4 linked regions of the Anolis sagrei genome follow. The protein of the gene in region 2 purifies or fractionates together with the protein of the main gene of each other region. This does not show direct contact. Links are inferred from orthologs where the notes say so. Each region holds a gene or a part of one and is shown on either strand. Other genes may lie near its edges.

Region 1 (7,432 bases), on a different chromosome or scaffold from region 2:
GGAAGGGGGTTCTCCCCCAAGTCTCCTCCCTACCCTTTCCTCCCCTTCCTCTTCTCTTTCAGAGGCAGAAAGTGAAGGAAAAACAGGAAATGTTTGGATCCCAAAAGGGTTGGCCTTGGTCAGGATGAGATGGTGGACAGGAGAGAAAATGTGTATCCATGGGACCCCTATTGCCTACTCCTGATATAGAATCCTAGAGCTGGAAGAGAACCCCAAGAGCCATCCAGTCCAACCCTTTGCCATGCAGGGAAGCACAATCAAAGCACTCCTGATAGACTCTGCGGAAAAGCCTCCAGAGAAGGAGACTCCACCACACTCCTAGGTAGCCTACACCACTCTCTAACAGCTCTTACTCACAGGAAGTTCTTCCTCAGCTTTTCAGTCAAATCTCTTTCCCTGCCATTTGAAACCATTGCTCCCTTGTGCCCTGGTCTCTAGAGCAGCAGAAAGTCAGTTTTCCCCTCCTCTTCAATGGGAGACCCTTTGAAATCTTGAAACATGGTTCTCATGTTCCCTCTCTACCTTCTCTTCTCCCAGTTCAATATCCTCAATAGGGAAAGGAAGAAGGAAAAAGAGAAGAAAGAAAGGGAGGAAGGGAAGGAAGAGGGAATGGAGGGAGGGGAGGGGGGAAAGAGAGAAGGAAGGACAGACAACAGGAAGGAGAAAGGGGGAGAGGAAGGAAAGGAAGGAAGGACAACAGGGTTGAAGGGATGGAGAAAGAGGGAGGTAAGGAAGAGAAGGAGGAAGGAAAGCGAGAAGGAAGGAAGGATAGGATAGTGACACAACCTAAGAAAACAGCGCAAGGGGCCACATCCGACCCCAGACCTGGGTTTGCCCATACCTGGCATAATCTCTTTCCTAACGGGAGGCTGCAATAATACTTTAGCTTACAACTCCAACCAGATATTATGGGACTTGTAATCAGAACATGATTGCTCATGCTCTGGATATCAGAAATTACAACCAACATTGCCATTGATGTACCACCTGGTATCTTTTTTCTACAGGTCACTTGTAACGGCACACCTTTATCAATATCTCATCCTGCAGGGGTGACACCTGTTACGGTTTGCTGTTACTCTAGTAAAGCTGTCCTATAATTTTTCATCAACAAAATTGCAAGATAAATAAATGTGAGCCTTATGAAGGTTGGTACCCCTGGGGGGCTCATGAGGGGTTACCAAAGACCATCAGAAAACACAGTACTTTCTGTTGGTCATGGCAGTTCTGTGTGACAATCCCATCGTTGGTGGAGTTCAGAATGCTCTTTGATTGTATGTGAACTATAAATCCCAGCAACTACAACTCCCAAATGTCGAAGTCTATTTTCCACATACTCCACCAGTGTTCCCATTTGGGCATATTGCATATTCGTGCCAAGGTTGGTCCTGATCCATCATTGTTTGAGTCCACAGTGCTCTCTGGGTGTAGGTGAACTACAACTCCAAAACTCAAGGTCAATGCCCACCAAACCCTTTCAGTATTTTCTGTTGGTCATGGGAGTTCTGTGTGCCAAGTTTAGTTCAATGCCATAGTTCATGGAGTTCAGAATGCTCTTTTGATTGCAGGTGAACTATAAATCCCAGCAACTATAACTGCCAAACAACAAAATCGACCCCCCAAACTTTCAAATTTGGGTGTATTGGGGATTTGTGCCAAATTTGTTCCAGTGAACGAAAATACATCCTGCATATGAGATATTTACATTATGATTCATAACAGTAGCAAAAATCACAGTTATGAAGCAGCAACTAAAATAATGGAGCCCTCGGTAGCACAGTGGGTTAAACCCTTCTGCTGGCAGGTTGGAGGTTTGAATCTGGGGAGAGTGCGGATAAACTCCATCTGTCAGCTCCAGCTCCCAATGCGGGGACATGAGAGAAGCCTTCCACAAGGATGGTAAAACATCAAACACCCTGGTGTGTACCCTGGGCAATGTCCTTGAGATGGTCAATTCTCTCACATCAGAAACAATTTAGTTTCTCATGGCACTCTTGACACAAAAATAATAATATGATTGGGGGTCACCACAACATGAGGAACTGTACTCAGGGATCGTGGCATTAGGAAGTCTGAGAAATGCTGCTCTACACCATACTGGCTTTCCTCTTCCCTCCTATTTTTTATGAAAAGCTGGCCCGTTTCTCACAGACCTTCTTACTGCACATGGGTTCAAGCAGGACTTACCAGGGTTGAAAAGAATGGCGCCTTTCAGATAGGCATATTCTTTAGGGCTCAGGTCCAGGCTATAGAAAGAGTTCAAGCAGCACTGTAGCCGCTGCACACTGGCCAGTGTGGGCTGTGTCCTCTGCGGCTCTTGCCTCTTGCAGGGCCCATCGAGGAGGATCCTCTCCAGCATGCTGGGGGCAGGGGTCTCCATCACCTCAAAGGTCACCATCTCCTGGACCAGCCCCAGAAGGAAGAGAGGTGCCCAGCAGCTATCTAGCAGCAGGAGCTGGTCATCCCAGGGCAGTAGCTGGAAGGACGGCAGGTTCTTCACAAAGGTGATGGTCTTCACCAAGACATCAGAGGCTGCCTGGCAGGTCACTTGAGGGGTCCGGAGGCAGACCGTGCGGCGCTTGTGGCACATGCAGCTCTGTTGGGAAAAGCCAGCGCTGCTCCTGTTGGGGCTCAAGTTCTGGCTCAGGAGGGTGTAGAGGATGGCGTTCTGGTTTTCTTCATGGTGCCACGGGCACTTTTCGCACTCCATGATCAGGTTGGAGAAGAACGTAAGGAACCGCTATCTGAAAAGCAAACGCTTTCCCTATACAGGTGGCTTGGCAACTGTCTTGGTCCTACCACACCTTTTGCTCACTCCACAGTTTCTCCCGTCTTTTCTGTAGCTGCCGTTTCCCAGCTTCACTTATAAGGCCCCTGAAGGGATGATTGGAAACCACCCCCACTAGCAGCCTTGACCTCCCTTTGACAAGCAGCCACCGGCTCATTGAAAAACAAGTCAACCCTGAACCAATTGGCTGGGGAGAAACGGAGACTTCACGTGGCCCGGAGAAAGGTTTTCTCAATGAAGGTGCCAGCCGGGGCCAGGAGACCCAGGGGACTACATTTATCTCAATTGTCCTTATCAGTATAAACAAAGTCATTAACCCAGCCTGTACCAAGGCACCAAGGCTTCAGGTGTGTAATCAGGTTTCAGGATATGGCCGGGGTCACTGCCAAGGAGTATGTACACAGACACACTCCATTTACAGCCCAAGAAAGACAGCCCAGTGGCAAAACAGCTCATAAAGATTTAGCCTTGGAACCAGCAACCTGGAAGTCAATTTATCTGTGAGTTGTTTGTTTAACTCAGACAGTTGCTCTTTGCTGATAATGAAGAAAGGGTGGGGAGACCAAAAACACCTAACAGACCAAGTATTATGAGGCTTCTACTGAAGAATACACATACTACAGTGGCTACACCTCTTCCTTTTATGCAAAACTGCATGCACCTGTTTCTGTCTCCCCTATTTCTCCTGGATTTTGATCCAACAGGTGATCACATTGCACCCCATTAATCAATGAACCGAAGATATGATAATCAGATTTGCACAGATCAGGTCTTACACATAAAATTACACAATAGGAGGAAAGTTAGTTGAGTGCCAGCCGTAAGAGCCAGTGAACAATCAAGGCCTTTCAAAGATTTGTGAAATGACAAGGCGTGACACACCGGTGCACCACGACAGGGAGCCCTGCAGTCAGTGAATGGTCATAAAGCACACAGGAATGGGGTCAATGGCCTGTTCTCAGATCAGGAGAGAGAAAAAAAGGAAAGCTTGCAACTTCCAGCAGGGGAAAAATGTTGTAAAAGACTGGCAGCATAGAGCATAGTGAAACTACCACTTGCAATGCTGTTAACAGCTTTTTACCCTTATATTACCCCAACTTTATTCTCCATCTTCATCGCTATGAGATGAAGATGGAAGGTGGGAAGCTTCCCATCTTGTTGATGGGAAGCTTCCCACCAGAGTGGAAATCATCTATCGGACAGATGGCAGGCTGTTTAACCTCAGCAGACTGAAAGCCAAAACAAAGGTTACAACATCTGTTATAGAACTCCAGTATGCTGATGACAACATCCTCTGTGCACATTCAAAAGATCTACAAACCACTCTAAACACCTTCACAGAAGCATATGAGAAGCTCGGCCTGCCATTAAACATCGAGAAAACCAAAGTGCTGTTCCAGCTGTCACCAGCCAACCCCTCTCCAATGCCAGAGATACAGCTTCATGGGGTAACACTAGAAAATGTTGACCATTTCCGCTACCTTGGCAGCCACCTCTCCACCAAAGTCAACATCGACACTGAAATACACCACCACCTGAGCTCTGCGAGTGCAGCATTTTTCCGAATGAAGCAGGGAGTGTTTGAGGACCAGGACATCCATAGGGAGACCAAGGTGCTTGTTTATAAAGCTATTGTCCTCCCAACCCTGCTATATGCCTGTGAAACATGGACTGTCTACAGACATCACATGCAACTCCTGGAACGATTCCATCAGCGCTGTCTCCGAAAAAATCCTGCAAATATCTTGGGAAGACAAGCGGACAAATGTCAGTGTGCTGGAAGAAGCAAAGACCACCAGCATTGAAGAGATGGTCCTCCGCCATCAACTCTGCTGGACTGGCCACATTGTCCGGATGCCCAACCACCGTATCCCAAAGCAGTTGCTCTACTCCGAACTCAAGAACAGAAAACGGAATGTTGGTGGGCAGGAAAAGAGATTTAAAGATGGGCTCAAAGCCAACCTCAAAAACTCTGGCATAGACACTGAGAACTGGGAAGCCCTGGCCTTTGAGTGCTCCAGCTGGAGGTCAGCTGTGACCAGCAGTGCTGCAGAATTTGAAGAGGCACGAATGGCGGGTGAAAGAGAAATGTGCCAAGAGGAAGGCGCGTCAAGCTAACCCCAACTGAGACCGCCTTCCACCTGGAAACCAATGCCCTCACTGCGAAAGAAGATGCAGATCAAGAATAGGGCTCCACAGTCACCTACGGACCCACCGCCAGGACACCGAACTTGGAGGACCATCATCCTCGGACTACGAGGGATCGCCTAAGTAAGTAAGTAAGTAACCCTTATACAGTCCTTTCCAAAGGCTCTCTTAGGACCTTATCGTATTGGGATATACTATACACACACACTCACCCACACCACACCATATTTCTGGATGCATAGTGTATTAAGATGGGATTCTTATGTTTTGAAAATACTAAGCTTTGACTCATCACATCATGGAAGATGGCTCCTCTTTTTTATATTTTTATTATTTTATCATGATTCAATACATTTGTTATACAGTGTTTGTTTTACAGCAGATAAATATTATTCAATACAACCTACCATGCTTTAACTTTTGGCATCTCGTATTATTTTTCTGCTTATAAGTATTTTCTAACCCTCACCGCTGTACTCCCCCCCCCCCCCAAAGCCACGGCTTTTACATATCATCTGTCCAAAATTTCAATTCTTCTTGTGGAGGTAACTTTCCTTCTTTATTTTTCAATCCTTTTCAATAAATTTTCTCCATCAAAATCACTTTGTTTCCATATACCCCTTTTAACTTTTAAAATACATGTCAGCTTAGCATTTATTGCCAATTTCCATACTTCCTTGTACCACTCCTCTGTTTGTATATTTATTTCTCTTTTCCAATTCCTTGCTATAAGCAATCTTGCTATTGTTAATAAATTCGTTATCGCATCTTTATCCTCTTTTTTAAATTGTTTATTATTATATAATGATAATAAAGCTATACTAGGACTTCTTTCTATTTTAATGTTCATTATATCTTCTATTTCTCTAAATACTTTCCCCCAAACATTATTTACATATTTACATTGCCACCACATATGTATATATGTTCCTGATTCTTGACATCCTCTCCAGCAATTTTTTGAATAGTTTTTATTTATATTTGCTATTCTTACTGGTGTTAGGTACCATTTCCATATTAGCTTATAATAATTTTCTTTAACCCATATTGATACATTTTTAGATGTCTTTGTCTCCATAATTGTTGCCACTGTTTCATTTATTTTTATCCCTAAATCTTCTTCCCAAACCTCCTTGCAGGTGTAATTTTTTGTTTTTCCTTTCTTTATTTCAATTATCTTATATACTTTACTAGTTACTCCTTTCAAATTTTCATGCTTCTCTACAACCCTTCCATTTTGTATTATTTGTTCAAATTGGTTAAGCTTACTTCTGTTTTTATTATTTTTTCCCCAATTTTTAAACCATTGTTCTAATTGTATACAATGGAACCATGTCAATTCTATTTCTCTAAATTCTTCCATAACCATTTCCTTCTTCATTCCAACCTTTATCCAATCCCCTCTTTTGTCTAAGTTTTTCCCCTTTAACTTTTTATCCAGGCACTTAGCACTTAGCATGTAGCTCTCATGGAGAATTTTCTCAGGGAAAGTTGGTATCACTGCTGTGTAGCAGGAAGCAAGCGGGAGTGAACGAGCAGTGCCAGTCGTCAGTAGCTCATTGACTGGCATTGTGGTGAAGGTTAGAGATGAGCATCCTCATTCCGTTTCCCTCCAAGTGCGAAGCTTGTGCTGTAATATGCTACCTAAATGCATGAATGCCACTGCAATTCATTGCGAAATCATTTCAGTTTATGGAGAGGATGTCATGTCAAGACAGCATGTGACAATTGGGTACGGTATATTTATTTATTTATTTTATTATTTAGCAATTTTGTATACCGGTCTTCTCCCCTCTATCGGGGGACTCGGTTTCCAACAATAAAATCACAAAACAATCATTAAAAACATCATATGGCATATTCAATTAAAACGTTATAATAGCAAAATGCAATCACATAATAACAATGGTCAGTCGTCATAGTGAATTTGTTGTCCATCATTCATCGTCATCTATCCGATCACAGAAATATTGATTCACTCGTCGAAAGCCAAACCCCATAGACAGGTTTTCACCCGTTTTCTGAACGACAGAATGGAGGGGGCAGTTCTGATCTCCAGTGGGAAAGAGTTCCAGAGTCATGGGGCCACCACCGAGAAGGCCCTGTCCCTCGTCCCCACCAGACACGCCTGAGAGGCCGGTGGGACCGAGAGCAGGGCCCCTCCAGACTATCTTAACAACCTAGATGGTTCATAGGGGAGAATACGTTCGGACAGGTAAACTGGGCCGGAGTCGTTTAGGGCTTTATAGGTTAACACCAGCACTTTGAATTGTGCTCGGAAGCTAATTGGCAGCCAGTGGAGCTGGCGCAACAGAGGAGTAGTATGCTCCCTGTATCCTGCTCGTGTTAGCATTCTGGCTGCCGCTCGTTGGACTAGTTGGAGCTTCCAGGCAGTCTTCATAGGCAACCCCACGTAGAGAGCGTTGCAGTAATCTAAACGGGATGTAACCAAAGCGTGGACCACCGTGGCCACGTCAGACTTCCCAAGGTACGGGC
Region 2 (6,977 bases):
TACACATACACTTAAATGTAGAATATATTATATACACAACGCACAACATATTAATTTGATAATCGGCTTGATTATATATACATATATACACACGCACACATACACTTAAATGTAGAATACATTATATATACAACACAACGTATTAAGTTGACAATCGGCTTGAATACACACACGCGCACACATATACACACACATACATACACATATACACATACACTTACATGTAGAATACATTATATATACAACTCAACCTATTAAGTTGACAATCAGCTTGAATATATATATGTATATACACACACACACACACACACATAAACACACACATATATACACACATACATACACATATACACATACACTTAAATGTAGAATACATGATATATACAACACAACCTATTAAGTTGACAATCAGCTTGACTATATATATGTATATATATATATACATACATACACATAAACACACACATATATACACACACACATACATACACATATACACATACACTTAAATGTAGAATACATTATATACAGAATTCATAACCTATTTAGTTGACCAGTGACTTGAAGACACATATACTTCCAAACCACAAGTGCGGACTACATATACATACATACATACATACATACATACATCCAAATGAAGTCAGTTTGAAGTCGTATACTTCCAAAACTGTGTGTCTACATGTATATTACACACACAGAGCCTATTAAGCCAAACTAAATATATGATGTTATATGACAGTAACAGTATAGATCAAGGAAGTGAGGACTAGCCAATCCTTCTACACTGTGAGATTAATGCAGTTTGACCCCACTTTAACCGCTATGGCTCAAGGCTATGGAATCCTGGCAGATGTATGTATATCTATATATGAGGGATGTATGTATGTATGCATGTGTGGGTATACATATGTGTGTGTGTGTCTATATATATATATAGGAGATGTGTATGTGTATAGGTGTCTTGGAGATAGATGTGTGTATATGGGAAGTCTATATATATGTATATATGTGTGTATATATATATGGGAGATGTGTATGTATGTATGGGAAATGTGTGTGTATATATGTGTGTATGCATATATGTTTATATATAGAGAGAGGAGATGTGTATGTATATGTATATATAGTAGATGCATGTGTGTGTGTGTATGTATATGTATGTATGTATGTATGTGTGTGTGTGTGTGTGTATATATATATATATATATATATATATATATGGGAGAGGTATGTGTATATATATAAGAGATAGCCGCCCCGAGTCCCCTCTGGGGAGATGGTGGCAGAGTATAAATTTTATTATTTTATATTTATATATGTGTGTTTGTGTATGAATACATGAGAGAGGTACGTATATATATGTGTGTATATGAATATGGGAGATGTATGTTTGTATATTTGTGCATGTGCAGCTATATACATATATATAGATATGAGAGATATATGCATTTATTTATGTGCGTTGTGTGTGTGTAGATGTAATAAATAAATAAACATATATAGGAAGATGCCAGTATGCAGTGTATACATGCAGTGTATGTGTGTGTGTGTGTGTGTATGTATACATGGGAGAGGTATGTATATATATGTGTGTGTATGAATATGGGAGATGTATGTTTGTATATTTGTGCATGTGCAGCTATATACATATATATAGATATGAGAGACATATGCATTTATTTATGTGCGTTGTGTGTGTGTATATGTAATAAATAAATAAACATATATAGGAAGATGCCAGTATGCAGTGTATACATGCAGTGTATATGTGTGTGTGTGTATGTATACATGGGAGAGGTATGTATATATATGTGTATATTAATATGGGAGATGTATGTTTGTATATTTGTGCATGTGCAGCTATATACATATATATAGATATGATATATGCATTTATTTATGTGCGTTGTGTGTGTGTATATGTAATAAATAAATAAACATATATAGGAATATGCAGTGTATACATACGTGTTTGCTATATATATATGTATGTATGTATGTATATGTATGAAACAACTGACCCACAGGTTTCCGATGCAACTCCAAAGCCGAATTATTTCTCAACCCAACCTTTGGACAGGGAAGGCGAAACTCCGAGCACCTCATAGTCTTGAGCCTGGGCAGTCTGAGTGGGGTCGAAACTGTGTTAAAATTGCAGTGTAGACGCATCTAGTAAATTCATGAACATGTAACACTACGCCAGAGGCGATGATGCATGGTTCATATAAGTAATAGCTGACAGGGAAGACCTTTTATGCCGTGCATGAATGTATTATCTTAGAGATCCTGAGGCAGGGAGTTCCGCAGGTCAACAGGAACTGTTTTTTCCCCATAGCATCATATAGATCTTAGAGATCCTGAGGCAGGGAGCTCCATAGGTCAACAGGAACTGTTTTTTCCCCATAGCATCATATAGATCTTAGAGATCCTGAGGCAGGGAGCTCCATAGGTCAACAGGAACTGGTTTTTCCCATAGCATCATATAGATCTTAGAGATCCCGAGGCAGGGAGTTCCACAGGTCAACAGGGACTGTTTTTCCCATAGCATCATATAGATCAGGCATGAGCCCACCCTCCAGGTGTTTTGGACTCCAACTCCCACCATTCCTAACAGCCTACCGGCTGTTAGGAATGGTGGGAGTTGCAGTCCAAAACACCTGGAGGGAGGGCCCAAGTTGGCCCATGCCTGATCTATATGATGCTATGGGAAAAACAGTTCCTGTTGACCTGTGGAACTCCCTGCCTCGGGATCTCTATAGATCAGGCCCATGCCTGATCTATATGATGCTATGGCCCAATGCAATGGGATCCCCAGACTGGAGAGCCACAAACAACAGGGATCGAGTGGATCCTTCCCCATCTCCCTCCCCCAAACAGTCCCCCCAAAAATCTCCCCCCTGGAGATCAAGGAAAACAAGCCAGCCGCCCAATCAGGAAGCAACGTGAGCATCCTCAATGGGGAAGCAGCTGTTGCCTACCTTGCCAAGCCCAGCCAGGATTCCTGAATGGGGAAGGAACGCCCCTCGAAGGGGATTGGCTGGGGGGAGGGGAGTGCGTCACAGCCGTGGGCGGGGCGGGGCGGGGGGAAGCCACGCCCCCTTCGTCTAGTGGGTTTTTGGGAAGCTAGAGAGAACTAGATAGCAAGATGGATAGATAGAAAGATAGATGGATGGATAGATAGATAAAGAAATCAAGATAGATAGAAAGGTAGATAAATAGATAGGATAGATAGAAAGATAGATGGACTGATAGATGGATGGATGGATAGATAGATAGGTTGGATAGATGGACAGACAGATGGACAGATAGAAAGATAGCTAGATGGATGGATGGATGGATAGGTAGGTAGAAATCAAGATAGAAAGATGGACAGATAGATAGATGGATAGCAAGATAGAAAGAAAGCTAGATAGGTAGGTAGGTAGATAGAAGGATCCCGCCTGCCTCACAGGCACGTCTGGCGGGGACGAGAGAGAGGGCCTTCTCGGTGTTGGCCCCCCAGCTGTGGAACTCCCTCCCTGCTGACATCAGACAGGCGCCCTCCCTCATGGCCTTTCATAAGGGCCTGAAGACGTGGCTCTTCGAGCAGGCTTTCAACTGAGTGCTATGTTACTGGAAATGACAACCGGAATGAATTTACGACTACGAGATTGATTATGATTCCATAATATGACGCAGCGGATTTTTAGTGTAATTTAAATGTTGTGTATTAGTGATGTTAGTTTGTTGTCCTGATTGCTTTGTAAAGTGTCTTCTTTGTATTGTACACCGCCACGAGTCGCCCTAGGGCTGAGAGCGGCGGTTAATAAATGCAAGAAATAAATAAATAATAAATAAAATAAATAGATAGATAGGATAGATAGATAGAAAGATAGAAAGCTACATAGAAAGCTAGATGGATGGAAAGATAGATAGAAAGGAAGAAAGATAGATAGATAGGAAGATAGATAGAAATCAAGATAGATATAGATAGATGGAGCCCCCGGTGGCGCAGTGGGTTAAAGCACTGAGCTGCTGAGCTTGTTGATCGAAAGGTTGTAGGTTCGATTCCGGGGAGCGGCGTGAGCTTCCGCTGTCAGCTCTAGCTTCTGCCAACCTAGCAGTTCGAAAACATGCAAATGTGAGTAGATCAATAGGTACCGCTCTGGCGGGAAGGTAACTTTGCTCCATGCAGTCATGCCGGCCACATGACCTTGGAGGTGTCTACGGACAATGCTGGCTCTTTGGCTTAGAAATGGAGATGAGCACCACACCCCAGAGTCAGACATGACTGGACTTAATGTCAGGGGACTACCTTTACCTTTACCTTATAGATAGATAGATAGATAGATAGATAGGTAGATAGATAGATAGACAGTAAGAAAGAAAGACAGACAGACAGAAAGATAAAGAAATCTAGATAGGTAGATAGATAGGATAGATAAATAAATAGATGGACTGATAGATAGAAAAATGGATGGATTGATAGATAGGTTAGGTAGATGGACAGAGAGATAGATGGATAGATAGAAAGATAGAAAGCTAGATGGATGGATGGATGGATAGGTAGATAGATAGATAGATAGATAGTCAGGTAGAAAGATGGATAGATAGAGAGAGAGAGAGAAAGATGGATGGACAGATAGTAAGATGGATAGATAGATGAATAGTAAGATAGAAAGCTAGATAGATAGGTACACAAATAGATGGATGGATGGATAGATGAATGGATAGATAGAAAGGAAGAAAGGTAGAAATCAAGATAGATAGATAGATAGATAGATGGATAGATAGATAGAAGGCTAGATAAATAGAAAGAAATCAAGATAGAAAGATAGATAGAAAGGTAGATAAATAGATAAGATGGATACAAAGATAGATGGATAAATAGAAAGAAAGAAAGCTAGACAGATAGAAAATAACTAGATAGATAAATAGAAAGAAATCAAGGATAGATAGCTAGATAGAAAGATAATAGAAAGATGGATAGATATATAGATGAATAGATAGAAAGATAAATAGAAAGATAGAAAGAGCGCTAGATAGGTAGATAGATGGATAGATAGAAAGATAAATAGAAAGATGGATAGATAGGATTGATAGAAAGATGGATAGAAAGCTAGATAGATAGATAAATAGAAAGATAGACAGAAAGGCTAGATAGATGGATTAATAGAAAGAAATCAAGGATAGATAGCTAGATAGAAAGATAAATAGATAGAAAGGTAGATAGAACTGCTAGGTTGGCAGAATCTGGGGCTAACAGCAGGAGCTCACCCCACTCCCCAGATTCAAACCTGCAACCTTTCGGACAGCAAGTTCAGCAGCTCAGCACCACAGGAGGCTCCATATACTGACAGTGTATTTTATATATTGTGGTATAATAATATAATAAAATATAATAATATATGACAACTGTATATCTTACATGTAATATTGCTAATAATATTTCAGTATAGTGGTATAGTACAATATAGCAATATATAATACTAATATTGTGCTATGCTAAAATATTGTATGTATAATATTGATATTATAATGTAATACAATATATATAATAATATATATAATGGCTTAAACCTCTGTGGCAACAGGACTGAAGACCGACAGGTCGCAGGTTCGAATCCGGGAAGAGTGCGGATGAGCTCCCTCTGTCAGCTCCAGCTCCACATGTGGGGACATGAGAGAAGCCTCCCACAAGGATGGTAAAAAATCAAAACATCCGGGCAACGTCCTTGCAGATGGCCAATTCTCATACCAGAAGTGACTTGCATTTTCTCAAGTCAGTCCTGACACGTGTGTGTGTATATGTGTATATATATATATGTGTGTGTGTGTATTGGTATAATATAATTATATATATAATATTATATTATATATATATAATATATATATTATATATATTAGTATATAGTAATATATACTAATATTGTAGTATGCTAATATATTGTATATACATATATTGGGATTATAATGTAATACAATATACTAATACAATATATATAATATAGTAAAACAAATATAGTAAATATAATTACTATTGATAATATATGCAATATTGTTTTATTATTGTATATTTGAGGTTCTAATGTTTTTGATTGTGAGCCGCTTTGAGTATCTGTATGGAGAGCTAAATTGGGATATAGATAAATAAATGTACACCTAGTGGGAATTTGTAAATTAATTATTATTATTATTTTATTTAATAATAATCCCTTTTCTAAACTGTTTGGAACTCTTTGGCGCTCCCAGTGGACACAGTGAAAACTGCACCCTTGATCAAAGCAGATAAAATGTGCCTCTATGCCGCCCTCTTGAGGCCACATTGGAAATCGCACTGCTTTATTTATTATAATTATATATATTATTATTTTATAATATTTATATTTATAATATAAAAGGCACTGCCACAATAAAGAGAAGGGGAAAAAAGAAGTGAAAGAAGAGAGGAGGAAATAAAAAAAGAAACAAGGAACAAGAAGCTTTGATTGGATAGAAAAGGTACATTCGACACATCCGGAAATGGTGAGTTGTCTGTATACTTTATTTCCGTAAATACAAAACAAAAAAACAAAACCCCGAAACAAAAACGGATGTCGCCATACAACAGCGAACTGAGAACATTTACAGTTATCTCCAATTCGGATTTGATCAAGTTAATGTTAAATATTTTGTTTATTAAAAAAAAACAAGGAAAAAAGAGAATAGATTGTAGTAAATAAAAATGAAGAATATGCACATTCAATAGAGCTTATTTTCCAGTAAAAAGTTACTGAGGTTGGTTCGGATGCTGCTCTCTTCTCCAGGGAATAGAAAAGGAATGAGGAAAAGCCAACAGAAGGAAGGAAAGTGGGGCAAAAATAATGTTGTGTTGGGATACCTAGAACCCATTGTACTGGGACACCTGGAATCCATGGCAAACACATGGCATTGGGATATCGAGAACCTCCCTGCAAAGAATAAGAGGCTTCTTTACAGCCTCTCCCATTCCATCA
Region 3 (7,674 bases), on a different chromosome or scaffold from region 2:
AACATCTGACAGTGGGCAGACATGTATACTATGTTCCTAAATCAGAATATTTTATTAGGCTCCATCACAGCTAAATATACAACATATTTTTCAATATTACTAATTTATTTATTTAGTGTTTATATTCCGCCCTTCTCATTCCAAAGGGGACTAAGAGTGGATCGTAGAACACATATATGGCAAACATTCAATGCAGTTATACACTGACAAGACAGACAACTGTACATAGAATACAGTTTTGGCCTTCAACTCCCAGAAATCCTAACAGTTGGTAAACTGGATGGGATTTCTGGGAGCTGTAGGCCAAAACACATGGGGACCTACAGGCTGGGAACCACTAACATAGATAGAGGTATATATCTTCTGCATCTGTGCTTGGTTCTGCCACCAGGGTGGGGGTGCTGTTGCTCCACTTTTCCCTGTGGAAGAGCTTTTTTGCCCATCTCTAGCATCTCTATGCCTCGAAATTATTTCTGATCCTAAGATGAACTTATCATGAACCTTCCTTAGCAAGATTTGTTCTGTGAAAGTTTGTCTTTGCCCTCTTATGAGATTCAGAGTGTGTGACTTGCACACCCCAAGTGGGTTTCCATGTCTGAGTTACATTTGAGTATCCAGAGTCACAGTCCAATGCTCAAACCACTACACCATGTTGGCTTTCATGAGTAGCTATTACTTGATGTGTTGCCAAAGAATTTCATGGCCGGAATCACTGGGTTGCTGTGAGTTTTCCAGGCTGTATGGCCATGTTCCATACATTTAGAATATTATAATGTAATACAGTATAATACTACTACTAATAATATGATATTATAATTATATATTTTATATTACATGTAATATTACTAATAATATTACAATATAATTGTATAGTACAATATCGTGATGTATAGTGCTGATATTGTACTGTGCTAATGGTATAATGTATTGTATGTACGTATCTATCTTGTAAGCCGCTCTGAGTCCCCTTCGGGGTGAGAAGGGCAGAATATAAATGTCGCAAATAAATAAATAAATGTTCCAGAAGCATTCTGTCCTGACGTTTCATGTACATCAATGGCAGGCATCCTCAAAGGTTGTAAGGTCTGCTGGAAACTAGGGAAGTGGGGTTTATATATCTGTGGGATGTCCAGGGTGGGAGAAAGAACTCTTGTCTGTTTGAGGCAAGAGCAAATGTAGCTATTGGCCACTTTGATTAGCATTGAATGGCCTTCAAAGCTTGCCTGGTTGCTGCCTGGGGGAATGCTTTGTCTGGAGGTGTTAACTGGCTCCAATTTATTCTTGTCTGGAATTCTCCTGTTTTCTGAGTGTTGTTCTTTATTTACTGCCCTTAGAGTTTTTTTAATACTGGTAAATCAGATTTCCTTCATTTTCATGGTTTCCTCCTTTCTGTTGCAACTGTCCACATGCTTGTGGATTTCAATGGCTTTCAATGACATTCTGGAACATGGCCAGACAGCCCAGAAAACTCACAGCAACTCAGCGATTATTCGATTTATCTCCCCCCAAAAATACTTAAGGCAGTTAAGAAACGACAGGCGCTGCAACTGATCAGTCTCAATGGCCACATAGTCATCATTCCTATGCAAAGGAATTAATGAAATTTGGCAGCACTTTAACTGTTATGACTCAATGCTGTGGAATCCTGGGAGTTGTAGTTTGTGGCATTCTGGGAGTTGTAGTTTGGTGAGAAACGGACACTCTTTGGCAGAGAGCAAAGGAATTAATAAATTTTGGCACCACTTTAAGAGCTAAGGCTCAATGCTGTGGAATCCTGGGAGTTGTAGTTCGTGGCATTCTGGGAGTTGTAGTTTGTGGAATCCTGGGAGTTGTAGTTTGGTGAGAAACGGACATTCTTTGGCAGAGTTGGCTAAAGACCCTGCAAAACTACAACTCCCGTGATTATGTAGCATTGAACCGTGGCAATTAAGGTGGTATCAAACTGCAATAATTCTACAATAGAGATGCACCGAAGGGCTCTTTCCACCCCCCATTCTCCATTCCAACGCAGACGGAACTCCCAACGATCGTGGGGAGCCTCTACACTGAATAATTAATGCGGTTTGACCCCGCTTGAGCTGCCACGGCTCGGTGCAGAGAAGGCTAAAGACCCCCATCATTCCGAGGCACTAAATCAGGGCAGCTCAAGTGTTGGCGAACTGCATTAACTGGACAGTGCAGACGCCCCTCTTGCTGATCCCGCTAATCCCACCTTCGTTGCCCAGGATCAGCTGCTGTCCTCACATTTCGGCCCCGTCTAACTTTCTTCTCTGGCGGCAGCTGCGATCAGGAGGCTTTGGGTGCCAAATCCGGCCGCAAGAGCGAAGGCATCGAGCAGGGGCGTCTCCGGAGCTCTGGATCTCGGCGCAAGCCCCGCCCATTCGAGCCTATGCTAGCCCAGCCCCCACTCCCGCGGCGACCAATGGGAAGCAAGCCTCTCCTCCCGCCTAGCCAATCCAGCGCAGGGGCGAACACAGCCTACCAAGCAACAGGCCCCGCCCACGGGCTAATGTGTAAACCCCGCCCCTCCTCCAATGGCAAGTCGACTTCTCTCTACATCTGGCCAATCCAACACAGAATGGAGAAGGCCCTCCCAGCCAATGAGGAAGCCTGTAAACAGCCAATGAGGAGGCGGGCGATGGCTCGTTGTCCCGCCTCCCTTCTCCTCCCTGATCACTATGTGAAACAGACGCGCAAGGCCGGGGACCCGGATGTTGGGCGAGGATAAAAAAGCGACCGCGAACGCACTCTGAAGCAATCGAGGCCTCGAAGAGGAGGTGCGCGCCACTCCGGCTTGTCTTCTCCAGCGCTGGCTGGCGGGCGCCTCTCTACGGAGCCCTGCCTCCGAAGCGCGTCCCTCCCCCGGCCAGTTACCTGCAGCCGGAGTTGCGGCGGAATCTCCCTCACGAAAGCCCCCAGCGCCGCTTTCGGGGCTGACACCGCGCGGGGGCTCAGTCCGGGAGTGTTGCTTCCGCTGCCGCAGCGACGCACCCCTCCCCGCTTCTCGCTGATTGGCTCCCGGCTAGTTCCGCCCACTGTGGCGGGAGGCGGCGATTGGTCAGAACGCTGGTCGCGAAGGGGCTCCTGGGAGTTGGAGTTCGAGATCTGAGCCTGGATTAGGGTGATGTCGCGAGACGCTAGTTGGAGCAGAAAGAGTGCTATTGGTCCCTCGGAAGGGGGCGGGACGCTTGTGTGTTCTCTCCGCCTACCGAGGCCCTGATTGGTTGGCTTCTTTGTGAATGGCTTTGGAGGGAGAAGCAGTTTCTCTGCTTCATATAGAGATGGCGGGAAAACAGACTGGGAGCAGTAAGAGAGCATTGATTTATTTCCAGCATTTCTACCCCATCCTTCTCAACCCGCGAAGGAGGACTCAGGGCGGCTTACATTTTTTTTTAAATTTTATTATTACTATTGTATAATACATAGAAACATTCCATCTTTGAAAATAACATTCAAAATACCAGTTTTTTCCCCAATCCCGCCACCAGCACACCCCCCCCCCCCCCGGGAACAAATAGATACTTTAACTGTGTTTATTACAATTGTTCAATCATGAGAATAGTTTTGTTCAACACCGTATATTTATCTTTCCCCTTTATTCTATATATGAGACCCTTCCATTTTGCTTTCCATGTCTTTTTGCTTTGACCCGTCATATAGTAACTTTTCCTTTCGCTAATATAATCTTGAAGAAGGTAATCTGCTAAATATTTGTACCAGGTTTTTGTATCCCATTTCTTGTGGTCTTTCCAGCCCAGGGCCACTGAGGCTTTAATTCCCTCTATCATATGTTTTATTATTTCCTCACTTTCCTTATATTCCTCTTTATTTTCGAATTTCTGAGTGAAAAATTGGGCCTTATTCCATTCTATCTTGATCCCTAATAGCTCCTCCATTTCTTTCCTGATTATTTCTTGGAACTTTTGGATTTTTTCACATTCCCACCACATGTGGGCATATGTTCCTATTTTACCACAGTTGTGCCAACATAATTTTGGGCACGTTTTTGTGATATGCGCCAGTTGCACAGGAGTTCTGTACCATTTTGTCAATATTTTTCGTTGCATTTCTTTAATCTTTAGGTGTTTTATTTTATTGATTGAATTAATCCAATTGTCTATTTCTCTCTCACTGCAACTTAATTCCTCCTTCCAGACTTCTATTAGGGTAGATTTTGTGTTGTATTGTATTTCGGTGATTGTGTTATATATAAATCCCATGATTCCTTTCTCCCTCTCTACTTTCCATTTTATTATTTTGTCGAGATTTGTTTCTGAGGTTTCCTTATTCTTCAATTCTATTAGCTTTTTAGACAGCCCTCCCCATTGTAACCAATTTCCATGCCCGCATTTATCTTTTATTTCCTCCCATTGAATTACAGTCCCGTCTGGTTTTAGTAAGTCCTCAATCTTTGTTATTCCGTTTTGTTCCAGTTTCTTTAGAATGTTGCGATATAGCTGGGGTTTTCTGTTGTCTAAGGAACCTATTGGGAGCTTGTCTATTTTATTTACTGGGAGTTTATTTTGCCATTTTCCCCAACAAGTCATTGTTAATGACAAGGGGCCTCCTTTTATGTTTTTTAGTTCTTTCCCCCCAATTTTCCCCATAATGCAAGATCCATATTCCCACCCGTTTGTTAATTTCTCTAACCTAACCCATCTTTTGGGCTCACCGATATCTAATTCAAGTAACCTAACCAATTGACAGGCTTCGTAATAGTTCTGGAGGCAAGGTGCTCCCCAACCTCCATTTTCTTGTGGAGTATAAAAAATTGAATTTGCAATTCTGGTTTTACTAGAGCCTACTACCCATGTTTTAATTGAGTTATCCCATTTCTTTATTATTTTGGGAGGAATGCTACATGGAAGGCATTGAAATAAGTACAAAAATTTGGGCAGTATCATCATTTTATATGTCTTCACCCTTGTTGTTATATCCCAATTCCATTTTTTCCAATTGTTAATCTGTTTGCTTATTTTCTTCCATAGTTGGTTATAATTTATCTGAATTATGTTATTTAGATTTTTAGGTATATACACTCCTAAGTATTTTAACTTCTTTTCCCCCAGTTTGACCCCTAGAATAGATTGGACTTCTTTCACCTCCTTCCAGTTCATGTTTTTAGGTAGGATTTCTGATTTTTCAATATTAATTGTTAAGCCTGAGATCTTTTCAAATTTTTTAATTTCTTTCGTTACTTCAATTACCGAATTCTCCATTGAACCTATGAGGACTACTGCGTCGTCTGCATACAAATTTATTTTTATTTCTTCTTTATCTATCTTATATCCTTTTATGTTTTTGTTTGATCTGATTAGATTAGCAAAAGGTTCTATCGCTAGTGCAAAGAGAAGGGGGGAAAGAGGGCAACCTTGTTTGGTTCCGCTTTTGATTTCAATAGTTCTAGAATTGGATCCGTTTACTATCACTTCAGCTAGATTATCTTTATACAGTTCCTTAATTACTCCACATATCTTTTTTCCTAAGTTACTCTCCTCGCATAAGTTAGCCAAATAATTATGATTTATTGTATCGAATGCTTTGTAAACATCTAATTTTATTAGGAGTAATTTTGTTTTCTCTCTAGTTGCATGGTCAATTATATTTATGATATTTCTAATTGGGTCCGCTATCTTTCTTTTTATAGTAAAGCCGTATTGATCTTCCTCAATTAGAGTGGGTATTACCTCTTTCAGCCTATTAGCTATTATTTTTGTGAAAATTTTGTAGTCCACGTTGCATAAAGTAATAGGCCTATATGAGTTGGGGTCAGTCCCCTCTTTGTTTGGTTTTAAAATTGTTGTAATTTCGGATTTTTTCCATGTTTCTGGAATTAGTTTATTTTCCATGATTTCATTATATAGTATTAGTAAATTAGGGGTGACTTCCTTTTGAAAAATTTTATAGAAATTTGTAGTGAGCCCATCGGGGCCTGGTGAAGAGTTTATTTTTAATTTCTTTATTACCTCCTCTATTTCATTGCTAGTGATGATCCTGTCCAGTGTTGCTTGGGATAGAGGGTCTAATTTTTTTTGGAGTAGTCCTTCCGATTTCACTGTATCCTTACTTGTGTACAGCTTTTCGTAGTAATTGGCCATTATTTCCTTTAGGTCCTCCTCACTTGTTTTTATTTGGCCCATCTCGTCTTTCAAATTAAAGATTTTTGTTTTCCCTTGTTTCTTTTTTAGGAAATTTGCTAATTTCTTTGTGTTATTTATGGAGTTTGTCTGAAAGTCGTTCTTGACCCAGATATATTTCTTTGTACTTTCAATTTCCTCCAGGTTTTCTAGTTGTTTATTTAACTCTATCCATCTCTTTTTCCCCCCCACTGTTTGGTCTTTTTGAAATGATTGGAACGCTTCTTCTACTTCAGACCTCAATTTCCTTAATCTTTCATTTTCTCTTTTATTTATTCCCTTCTCGATTGTTATACACTTTCCTCTAATTACTGCCTTGAAAGCATCCCAAACTATGTTTTCTTTCATTCCAGGGGTTCTGTTTAAGTTAAAATACTGAATAATTTGTTCATTTATCTCTTTCCTGTCTGACTCTTTATAAGCAACTTTTGGGTTAAATCTCCATTTTTTCACTTTGTTTATGGTATAATTTCCTAATTTTAAGTAGAGAGGTGCATGGTCTCCTGGCCAATAATTGCCCACCAAAAGTTCTTTTATTGGCATTGTGTTGTTGATACCCACCAGGAAATAGTCTATGGTAGAAAATGTTGAGTGCCTATGTGAGTAGTGTGTTGGGGTATCTGCTCGTTCCCCTATTCTATTGTTGGCCTCTATTAAGTTCCACTTACTGAAATTTATCTTACAATTTGTACCTGAATTTCCAGTTCTATTACTCTTCGTTTTTTTGTACAATTGTAAATTTAGGTCCCCACCGACTATTATATCTCCTATTGCATGCTTTTCTATTTTTGAGCAAGTTTTGTTTATAAATTTTACTTGTTTCTGATTTGGGGCATAGACACTTGCTATTGATACCTGAGTATTGTTAATTTTACCTATTATCATTATGAATCTACCTTCAGTATCTTTAATGACCTTTTCCAACACAAAGGTTTTCCAACACAAAGGCTTACATTTGATACAGTTTGATGCCATTAAATATCTAATCAGATCTAATGTGCCAAATAGTCTCTGTTGTATGTTTTTATGTTGAATGTTTTTATATTGTGTATTAAATTATATTTTAAATTGTAAGTCGCTCGGAGCACCTTGGTGGAGAGCGACTAATTAAGAAATAAAGTGAAGTGAAGTCAATATAACAAGAATTAAAACAATAAATAGGATTTTAATTAAAACAATAAAAACAGTATTAACTGCCGTATCACCATTCCAATCATATTCCACATCCAAAGCGCTATTTTTATCCCTGCTGTCCAAAAGCTTGGTCCCAGAACCACGACTTCAATTTCTTCCTAAAAGACGGGAGGGATGATGCTGAGCTTACCTCGTTGGGAAGCGAGTTCCACAGGTGGGGGGCTACAGCCAAGAAGTCCCTGTCTCTTTTCCCCGCCAGATGTATTTGCAACGCTGGCGGGAGCAAGAGCAGGGTCTCCCCTATGATCTTAAACTTCAAGGCGGGACGTAGTGGGAGATGCATTCAGACAAGTAAGTGTTGCAGCATATAGGAGAGAGAATATCAAGAGAGATCCTTTCTGGA
Region 4 (7,461 bases), on a different chromosome or scaffold from region 2:
TCAGTGTGGACTCAGATAACCTGGTATAAAGCAGACATTGTGGGATTTTCTGCCTTAATATTCTGGGATATAGGACTGTGTGAAAGGGCTCTGAGTTCACATTGTTGCCTGGACCCTCCCACAGAGTCATATAATCCAGAGTATCAGGGCAGAAAATCCCACCATATCTGCTTTGAACTGGGTTATAAGTCCACACTGCCATATAATACACTTCAAAGAAGAAAATGTGCCATTTATATGGCTGTATGACAAGGCCCTGAGTCCACACTGTTACCTGGACCCTGAGGGCCCTCCCACAGAGTCATATAATCCAGAATATCGAGGCGGAAAATCCTGCCATATCTGCTTTGAACTGGGTTATGAGTCCACACTGCCATATAATCACTTCAAAGAAGAAAATGTGGGATTTTATACAGCTGTGTGGAAGGGCCCTCTGGGCCTTCCACACAGCCCTATATCCCAGAATATTAAAGTGGAAAATCCCACATTATCTGAGTGTGGACTCAGATAACCCAGTTCAAAGCAGATAATGTGGGATTTTCTGCCTTGATATTCTGGAATATAGGGCTGTGTGGCAGGGCCTGAGTGATATGGCTGTATGGCATGGCCCTGAGTCCACACTGTTACCTGGACCCCGAGGGCCCATCCACACATATAAACCAGAATATCAAGGAAGAAAATCCCACCATATCTGCTTTGAACTCGGTTGTGAGTCCACACTGCCATATAATCCAGTTCAAAGAAAAAAATGTGGGATTTTATCAAGGTAGAAAATATCGAAAACCCACATTATAAATAATACAAATAAAGTGTATAATAATAATAATAATAATAATAATAATAATAATAATAATAATAAAGTTTCTTATTATCTGAGTGTGGACTCAGGTAACCCAGTTCAAAGCGGACATTGTGGGATTTCCTGCCTTGATATTCTGGGGCATAGGGCTGTGTGGAAGGGCCCTTAGCAAGTTCTGAAATTGTGGGAGTTGAAGTCCAAAACACCAAGAGGGCTGAAGTTTGCCCATTCCTAGTGTGTGGATGGGCCCACTGTTGCCTGGATCCTGAGGGCCCTTCCACAGTCGTATAACCCAAAATATCAAGGCAGATAATCCACAATATCTGCTTTGAACTGGGTTATCTGCCGTATAATCCAGTTCAGTGTGGCTTTGATACAGCTGCATAGAAGGGGTCTGACATAAGACAGATTCCTGTCCAAAAGAGGAGGCTTCCCTCTCCATCTCAAGGCCTGCTTGACAGGTCAAACTAGGCATGGGCAAACTTCAGTCCTCCAGGTGTTTTGGCCTTCAACTCCCACAATTCTAGAACTTACTAAGGGCCCTTCCATACAGCCCTATATCCCAGAATATCAAGGCGGAAAATCCCATAATGTCTGCTTTGAAATGGGTTATCTGAGTCCACACTTATAATGTGGGATTTTCTACCTTGATACTATGGAATAAAGGGTTGTGTGGAAGGGCCCTCTGGGCCTTTCACACAGCCCTATATCCCAGAATATCAAGGCAGAAAATCCCACATTATCTCAGTGTGGATAACCCAGTTCAAAGTAGACATTGTGGGATTTTCTGCCTTGATATTCTGGGATATAGGGTTGTGTGGAAGGGCCCTTAGCAAGTTCTAGAATTGTGGGAGTTGAAGTCCAAAACACCTAGAGGGCTGAAGTTTGCCCAACGTTGCCTGGACCCTGAGGGCCCTTCCACAGAGTCATATTACCCAGAATATCAAGGCAGATAATCCACAATATCAAGGCAGATAATCCACAATATCTGCTTTCAATTGGGTTATCTGAGTCCACACTGCCATATAGTCCAGTTCAAAGCAGAAAATATGGGATTTCATTCAGCTCTGTGGAAGGGGCCTGAGACTTTTAGCAGGCAGAAACTGAGAACTCTTGGAGGCTCAGAAGGAGAGCCTGGCAACTCTTGGGAACCTCTGAGTGGAAATGAGGAGTCGCTTAAAGAAGTGAAGAAGCGGCTGTTGCCTCGGACGGGACCACCACCCCCTTGGGAGGGAGAGGAAAACCCCAAATATTTCAAGACCAAGCCACCACAGCGTCGAAAGCCACCCGGTGGCGGGTGAGGCCATCCCCGGAGGAGGTCAAAAGGTGGGAGTGGGGGAGGCCAAGTGGGGGGGAGGGGGGTGAGGGGAAGGGGGAAGAGAAGCGCGCGGAGGGGGGAGTGTCGGGGGGACGGAACGGCGGGTCCCTCAACGGTCGGTTTGGAACCTTCGGCCGCTCAGCGTTCGAAAGCCGTTGGCTGTTGACAAACAGCCCCCACCAATCACAGCGCCCCCTTTCTCTCAGTAACCGGGGCAGATTTTGTTTGTCCCCTTGTTGCTGGGGAGATTAGGACTGGGGCAGTTTTGGCGCCAAAACCCCCTACTTAAGAGAGAGAGCCAGAGGGAGAAGCTTTGTTGATGTTTACCTGGCGGAGGCGGCGGTTGTGGCGGCAAGGCTGGTGCTGCGGGAGGGAAGATGTCGGCGGCGCCGCCCGGGCAACTGCTGCTGCTGTTGTTGTTGTCCTCCCTCCTGGCTTCTTCTTCTCCTGCTTCTTCTCCTTCTTCCTCCTCCTCCTCTTCCTCCTCCTCGTCGCCGTCCTCGTCGCCCTCCGCCTCAGACACCACCATCTCCTCCTCCTCCTCGTCCTCTTCCCTCAGAGGAGAAGCCATGGTGGCGCTGAGGGAGAGAAAAAAAATAGAAAAACAAGAAAGAAAGGAAGGAAAATAGCAAAAAAAATGGATTGATTGAGAAAAAATAGGGGGAGGGGGCACGACCCCCCCTTCTTCCTCCTCTTTTCTTCTCAGGTTGCTTCAAAAAGAATTAAAAATCCAATTTATAATCATTAAGTCTTTTAAAAAAACAATCCAGCATATCTCCTAATTGGATATGGTCCTTTCTTTCTCTAAAAAAAATTAATATAATATTTAAATTCTGAGGGATAATAATTATTTTTTCCCACCAGAAGAAGAAGCAACAAAAATGGCCGCCTTTAAATTATTTTTAAAACAAAAATGCCCCCCCTCTTTCCCCCCCTTTCTGTTCAATCCCTCCCTTTTTTTCTTCCTCAGGAGGTATATATGTATATATATAACTCCCCCCTTCTTTATATATATCTTTAAAAAAATGGCTGCCTTTTTAACCCCCTCAGGGTTAAAAAAAAAGAATAAGAAAGATTTCCCCCCCTTTCCAAAATAAAAAAAAAATCAGCTCCAAATTTTAAAAATTAAAAACAAAAGCTTCTTTTCTTCTTCTTCTTGCTCTTGGCTATATTTCCTTCTCTTTCTCTTTCTCTTTTTTTCCCTTCCTTTCTTTCTTTCTTTCCCCCCCAATCTCCTCTTAAGATCTGTGTGATCATGAACAATATTTAGACATTCCTGGCACTGGGGGGAAACTGACAAGATTTCTGCATAAAACAAAGATGGCTGCTCTAAATTATTTCTTTTTCTCCCCCCCCCCCTTTTCCCTCCTTATGCTCTCCCTCCCCCCCCCCTCCCTCAATAAAAATATTTTTTATAGGGAGGGGGAAGAGAGAGAGAGAAAGAGAAAAGGTTGGATTAATCAGTACTCATGCTCAGTTATGACATCAGCATAAAATTGTTAAAGGTTAACTAGTTCCATACTAGTCAGTCAGACTGTGACTTTTGTTATGTGTGTGTCTTGCTTTACCAGCATTCAAAGGAGAAAGAATAGGGGGTGTTTTATTTCCATCTCCCCCCTCCTTTCTCTTTTTCTCTCTCTCTCTAACTTTAAATACTTCAGAAGGGAGTGGTTTATTTCTCTCCTTTTTTTCTCCTCCAGGGCAAGAAAGGAAGAACAGAAAGAGAGGGGAGGGAGAAAAAAAACACTGATTACTGCAATTTATTATAAGATCCTATTCACATAAGGAGATTTTTTACATAAGATCCTATTCACATAAAGGAGAGTGTATACAGAAATGATTTTTGAGGAGTCAATTCTGATAATAATTCATACCCCCCTTTAAGGTATATATATATTGTTCTTTTAAAAAATAAAAATAGAAAGGTTTTGTTTATAGCATAAAAAAAATTAAGATCAAATTCAAGTGAAGTCTTTCCAAATCTCTTTGTTCCCAGCTGGGTTTTTTTTCTCACCAAAGAGATTTTAGGAATAATTTTGACCACAAAATCCAGCCCAGGGTTAAATTCAACTGAAACCAAAAATACCATGCATACACACACACCCATATATACATACACACACTTCTTGAACATGCTCGCGATCCCACCGGCGTCGCAAGCGCGGTTGGTGGGGACGAGGGATAGGGCCTTTTCTGTGGTTGCCCCCCGACTTTGGAACACCCTCCCCAAAGACATCAGATTAGCACCCACGTTGGCAGGCTTTAGAAAGAGCTTGAAGACCTGGCTGTTCCGATGTGCCTTCCCGGAATAGGAAACTTCAGCACTATGTCCTAGAAGCACTTTATTAGAGTTTTAAGATCCTCTGCACATTGCACATGCCCTGAAATCCAATATGCCGCCTATCACACCCAGCACTTTTTTAATCTGTACCCACTACTTGGCTCGGCCTTGGTTTTACTGTTTATGATGTAATGTTTTGTTGATATTGCTTTATGTTTTTGATATGCTTTGAGTTGTATTGTTTTATGTTGTTGTTATGTTGAGGCCTCGACCTTTGTAAGCCGCATCGAGTCCTTTGGGAGATGCTAGCGGGGTACAAATATAGTTTAATAATAATAATAATGACCCATAACTGGCTTCACCTCATTTCATAACTGTAAAAACAACACTAAAGGGAAACAAATATTAAAAATGAGGCTATTATAATATTTTAGACAGCCGCTGTGATTTCATATCAATGAGCCTTATTTTTAGTGAGTTATAGAATCATAGAGTTCGAAGACACCTCGTGGGCCATCCAGTCCAACCCCCTGCCAAGAATAAGGAAAATCACATTCATCATGTGAGTTTGAAGCATAAGTTTTCATTTGTGGCCACAGAGAAGAGGTCTTGACCCCTGGTGACAGGAATGTGTTCCAGAAGCGTAAGGAAACATTAAGGAGCCCTTGTTTTGCTGTTTAAATCTGGATTATTCACATTCTTTTTTCACTTTAGTGTCTGCCAAATCTGAGTAAAGCATGGCTTGCCATCCTACCAATACAGCAAGTAACAGAGGGTGTCAGTATTACATAACCTGTGGCTCTCCATGTATTTCTTGGACTCTAGCCACCCATTAATCACAACCAGAATGGCCAAGGATATAATGGCAGTGTAGACTCATATAATCCAGTACAATGCAGTTAATCCACCTTCCAAAAATGCATTATATGGCAGTGCAGATCCAGCTTTAAAAGGCCCAGCTTCTCTACTATAGCTTCTTTCGTAGTATCTAACATGGGTTTAAAAAAGGAAACATGTTCTTTCCAGCAAATTTGGGACTATTTTTTGATGACATAGGATTTTTTTATTTAGTCTCTTTAGGAGTTGGATTAGTTCCCACTGGGAGAAAGGTGGCAGACAAATTAAATAAATAAATACAATTATTATTTCATTAACATTAAAAAGCATGCTTAAATTGCGAATTTCAAAAATTACTACTGAAGATTGTAACACTGATCAATAGTGCTAACATTTCAGTATTTTCCTTTGCTGTGCTTCCTTTTCTTCCTTTTTTTTTAACCTGGCCTACGTTCCTTTCCTTATATGAAAGGAAAAAATATTTGTGGTCCTAAATATCATGTTGTTGAAAGATGATCTCACCAACATATTATCTATAAACAGTGAGTACCATTATTCTGGAGTAGTCCCATTTAGGACAATAGCTATGTTAAGGATTAATGTTTTGTGTCAGAGATAGTATGCATAAGATTTTCAGTATATGCATGTTTCTCTATTCTCAGTTCTTTTTTTTTAAAGTCCTGTATGTTTTGGAATTTAGAATATCTTCAATACACAGGCTTCAGTCCTATTGGTAGTTTCAAGTAAAGGTAGACCAATTGAGTCAAACCATCATCTTGTTGAGACAGTTATACAATAAGGCTGCCCTGGGGTCACCAAAACTGCAAATTGACTTCAAGGTACACAGTAATGAACCAAAGTTGAACCCTATCTTTGAGGACATAAATTGGCAAATATGCTTCCATTTTAACTTTGAAGGAATTAAAAAATGATGTCACATATTGAGGACACGTATGTGCTTTCAAATCGCCTATTGACATATGACGGTCTCTCCATTACTTGGATAAAAAAGCGATAAATTTCAAAATAATCTTTTCTGAATAAATGTCCTTCTATTATATCTTATCACATCCTAATAATTCCCAGTGAAGACAGTGGGATTGCAGCAATGGTGCGCTCTTTTTAAAAGGTTGGCCAGGATGGGAAGAAATCAAAGCCAATGCATGGTTGTTCTTTAGTGAACATGTTCAGCCTGAGCCGATCCTCCCCATAGACTAGTTCTAAGTGTCCACAGAGGAGTCACTGTGCCTGCAGGAGAAAGAGCTTGCCAAATGAACGTTATCCCCCATGTGGCTTTTATATTTAACGCAACACCCTCTGAAGCCCTCCAGGAGCTTGGGCGCCAGACCCATTCACTCACGTTGAAACATTTCCCTGGCAGTGCTGGAAGTCAGTGCTCGAAGGAAGAGCTTGGGAGGCTTTGTGCTATCAAAACCTTTTAAAATGCAATTTCCAGGCATTTTTCTCTTCCTGGTGGAAAGGAGAAAGATGAAACTGGTTGCAGCATCCTCTGATTTCAAGCCTGGAATGCAATCAGTTTGGAAGCATTATATTACTCATTGGTTCAAAACAAAGCCGCGAGAACTGGAGAAAAAAACCAACTTTTCCCACTAAGGGAAACCCCTTTTTGAATCTTGACCTTTGCTTTTTCTGGCTTGGTCCTCATTGCTCAAGGGAGCAGTCTGCAAAAAGGAAAACATCTTTTTCCTTCAGTCTCTTGCCTGCCTTTGATGCTTCTTCACAATGCAGTCAGCATCAAGAATCCCATCAAGGAATCTATCGCATTATTATAATGGTGTGTGTGTGTTTTTATTCCCACAGTTCAACTAACAGCATCTTGTCTTTCGAGATGGTCAAAGATGTGTTGCACATTACACCATGAGTCTACTCTTCTCTCAAGGGAACTGTTGCTGTTTGGCTTAAGGGGGAGAATATTTCAAGGCTTTTCCCTGCTGAGTACAATATGGCTGAAGGATGCGAATTGCACACAAAAAGTGTACAACAGCCTGCAGAAAGGTGGGAATTGCACATTTTCATTGAGAACAAGTGCAAATGCTTCCCTTGACCCAAGGCAGTTTATGAATATCATTGCCAACTTCCAGCATTCAGAAAACTTGCCTGGATAAACCATTCTACCTCTTGGCAAAATTATCTGATGGATTTACAACAAAGCTGTGATTGATTAAGGGGCAACCATTGGGAATCTGATTTTTTTTATATTCTATC

What was found.
Region 1: the proteins of SIN3A (region 2) and NR0B2 purify together in Homo sapiens (affinity purification with western blotting; 3 studies listed by BioGRID). This does not show direct contact. The link is inferred for Anolis sagrei from reciprocal best matches to the Homo sapiens genes SIN3A and NR0B2.
Region 3: the proteins of SIN3A (region 2) and SAP130 purify together in Homo sapiens (affinity purification with mass spectrometry; 4 studies listed by BioGRID, with this or other methods). This does not show direct contact. The link is inferred for Anolis sagrei from reciprocal best matches to the Homo sapiens genes SIN3A and SAP130.
Region 4: the proteins of SIN3A (region 2) and CHD3 purify together in Homo sapiens (affinity purification with western blotting; 3 studies listed by BioGRID, with this or other methods). This does not show direct contact. The link is inferred for Anolis sagrei from reciprocal best matches to the Homo sapiens genes SIN3A and CHD3.

Annotation. Positions count from the first base shown.
Region 1 is NC_090034.1:72,712,194-72,719,625, reverse strand, and holds the start of NR0B2 (nuclear receptor subfamily 0 group B member 2), read right to left. Parts: upstream 3,013-7,432; 5' UTR 2,711-3,012; coding exon 2,188-2,710; intron 1-2,187. UniProt on the Homo sapiens protein: Transcriptional regulator that acts as a negative regulator of receptor-dependent signaling pathways. Specifically inhibits transactivation of the nuclear receptor with which it interacts.
Region 2 is NC_090029.1:8,581,266-8,588,242, forward strand, and holds the start of SIN3A (paired amphipathic helix protein Sin3a), read right to left. Parts: upstream 3,027-6,977; 5' UTR 2,982-3,026; intron 1-2,981. UniProt on the Homo sapiens protein: Acts as a transcriptional repressor. Corepressor for REST. Interacts with MXI1 to repress MYC responsive genes and antagonize MYC oncogenic activities. Also interacts with MXD1-MAX heterodimers to repress transcription by tethering SIN3A to DNA.
Region 3 is NC_090023.1:220,772,038-220,779,711, reverse strand, and holds the start of SAP130 (histone deacetylase complex subunit SAP130), read right to left. Parts: upstream 3,023-7,674; 5' UTR 2,875-3,022; intron 2,366-2,874; exon of another isoform or gene 2,213-2,365; intron 1-2,212. UniProt on the Homo sapiens protein: Acts as a transcriptional repressor. May function in the assembly and/or enzymatic activity of the mSin3A corepressor complex or in mediating interactions between the complex and other regulatory complexes.
Region 4 is NC_090026.1:6,300,796-6,308,256, reverse strand, and holds the start of CHD3 (chromodomain-helicase-DNA-binding protein 3), read right to left. Parts: upstream 3,020-7,461; 5' UTR 2,689-3,019; coding exon 2,445-2,688; intron 1-2,444.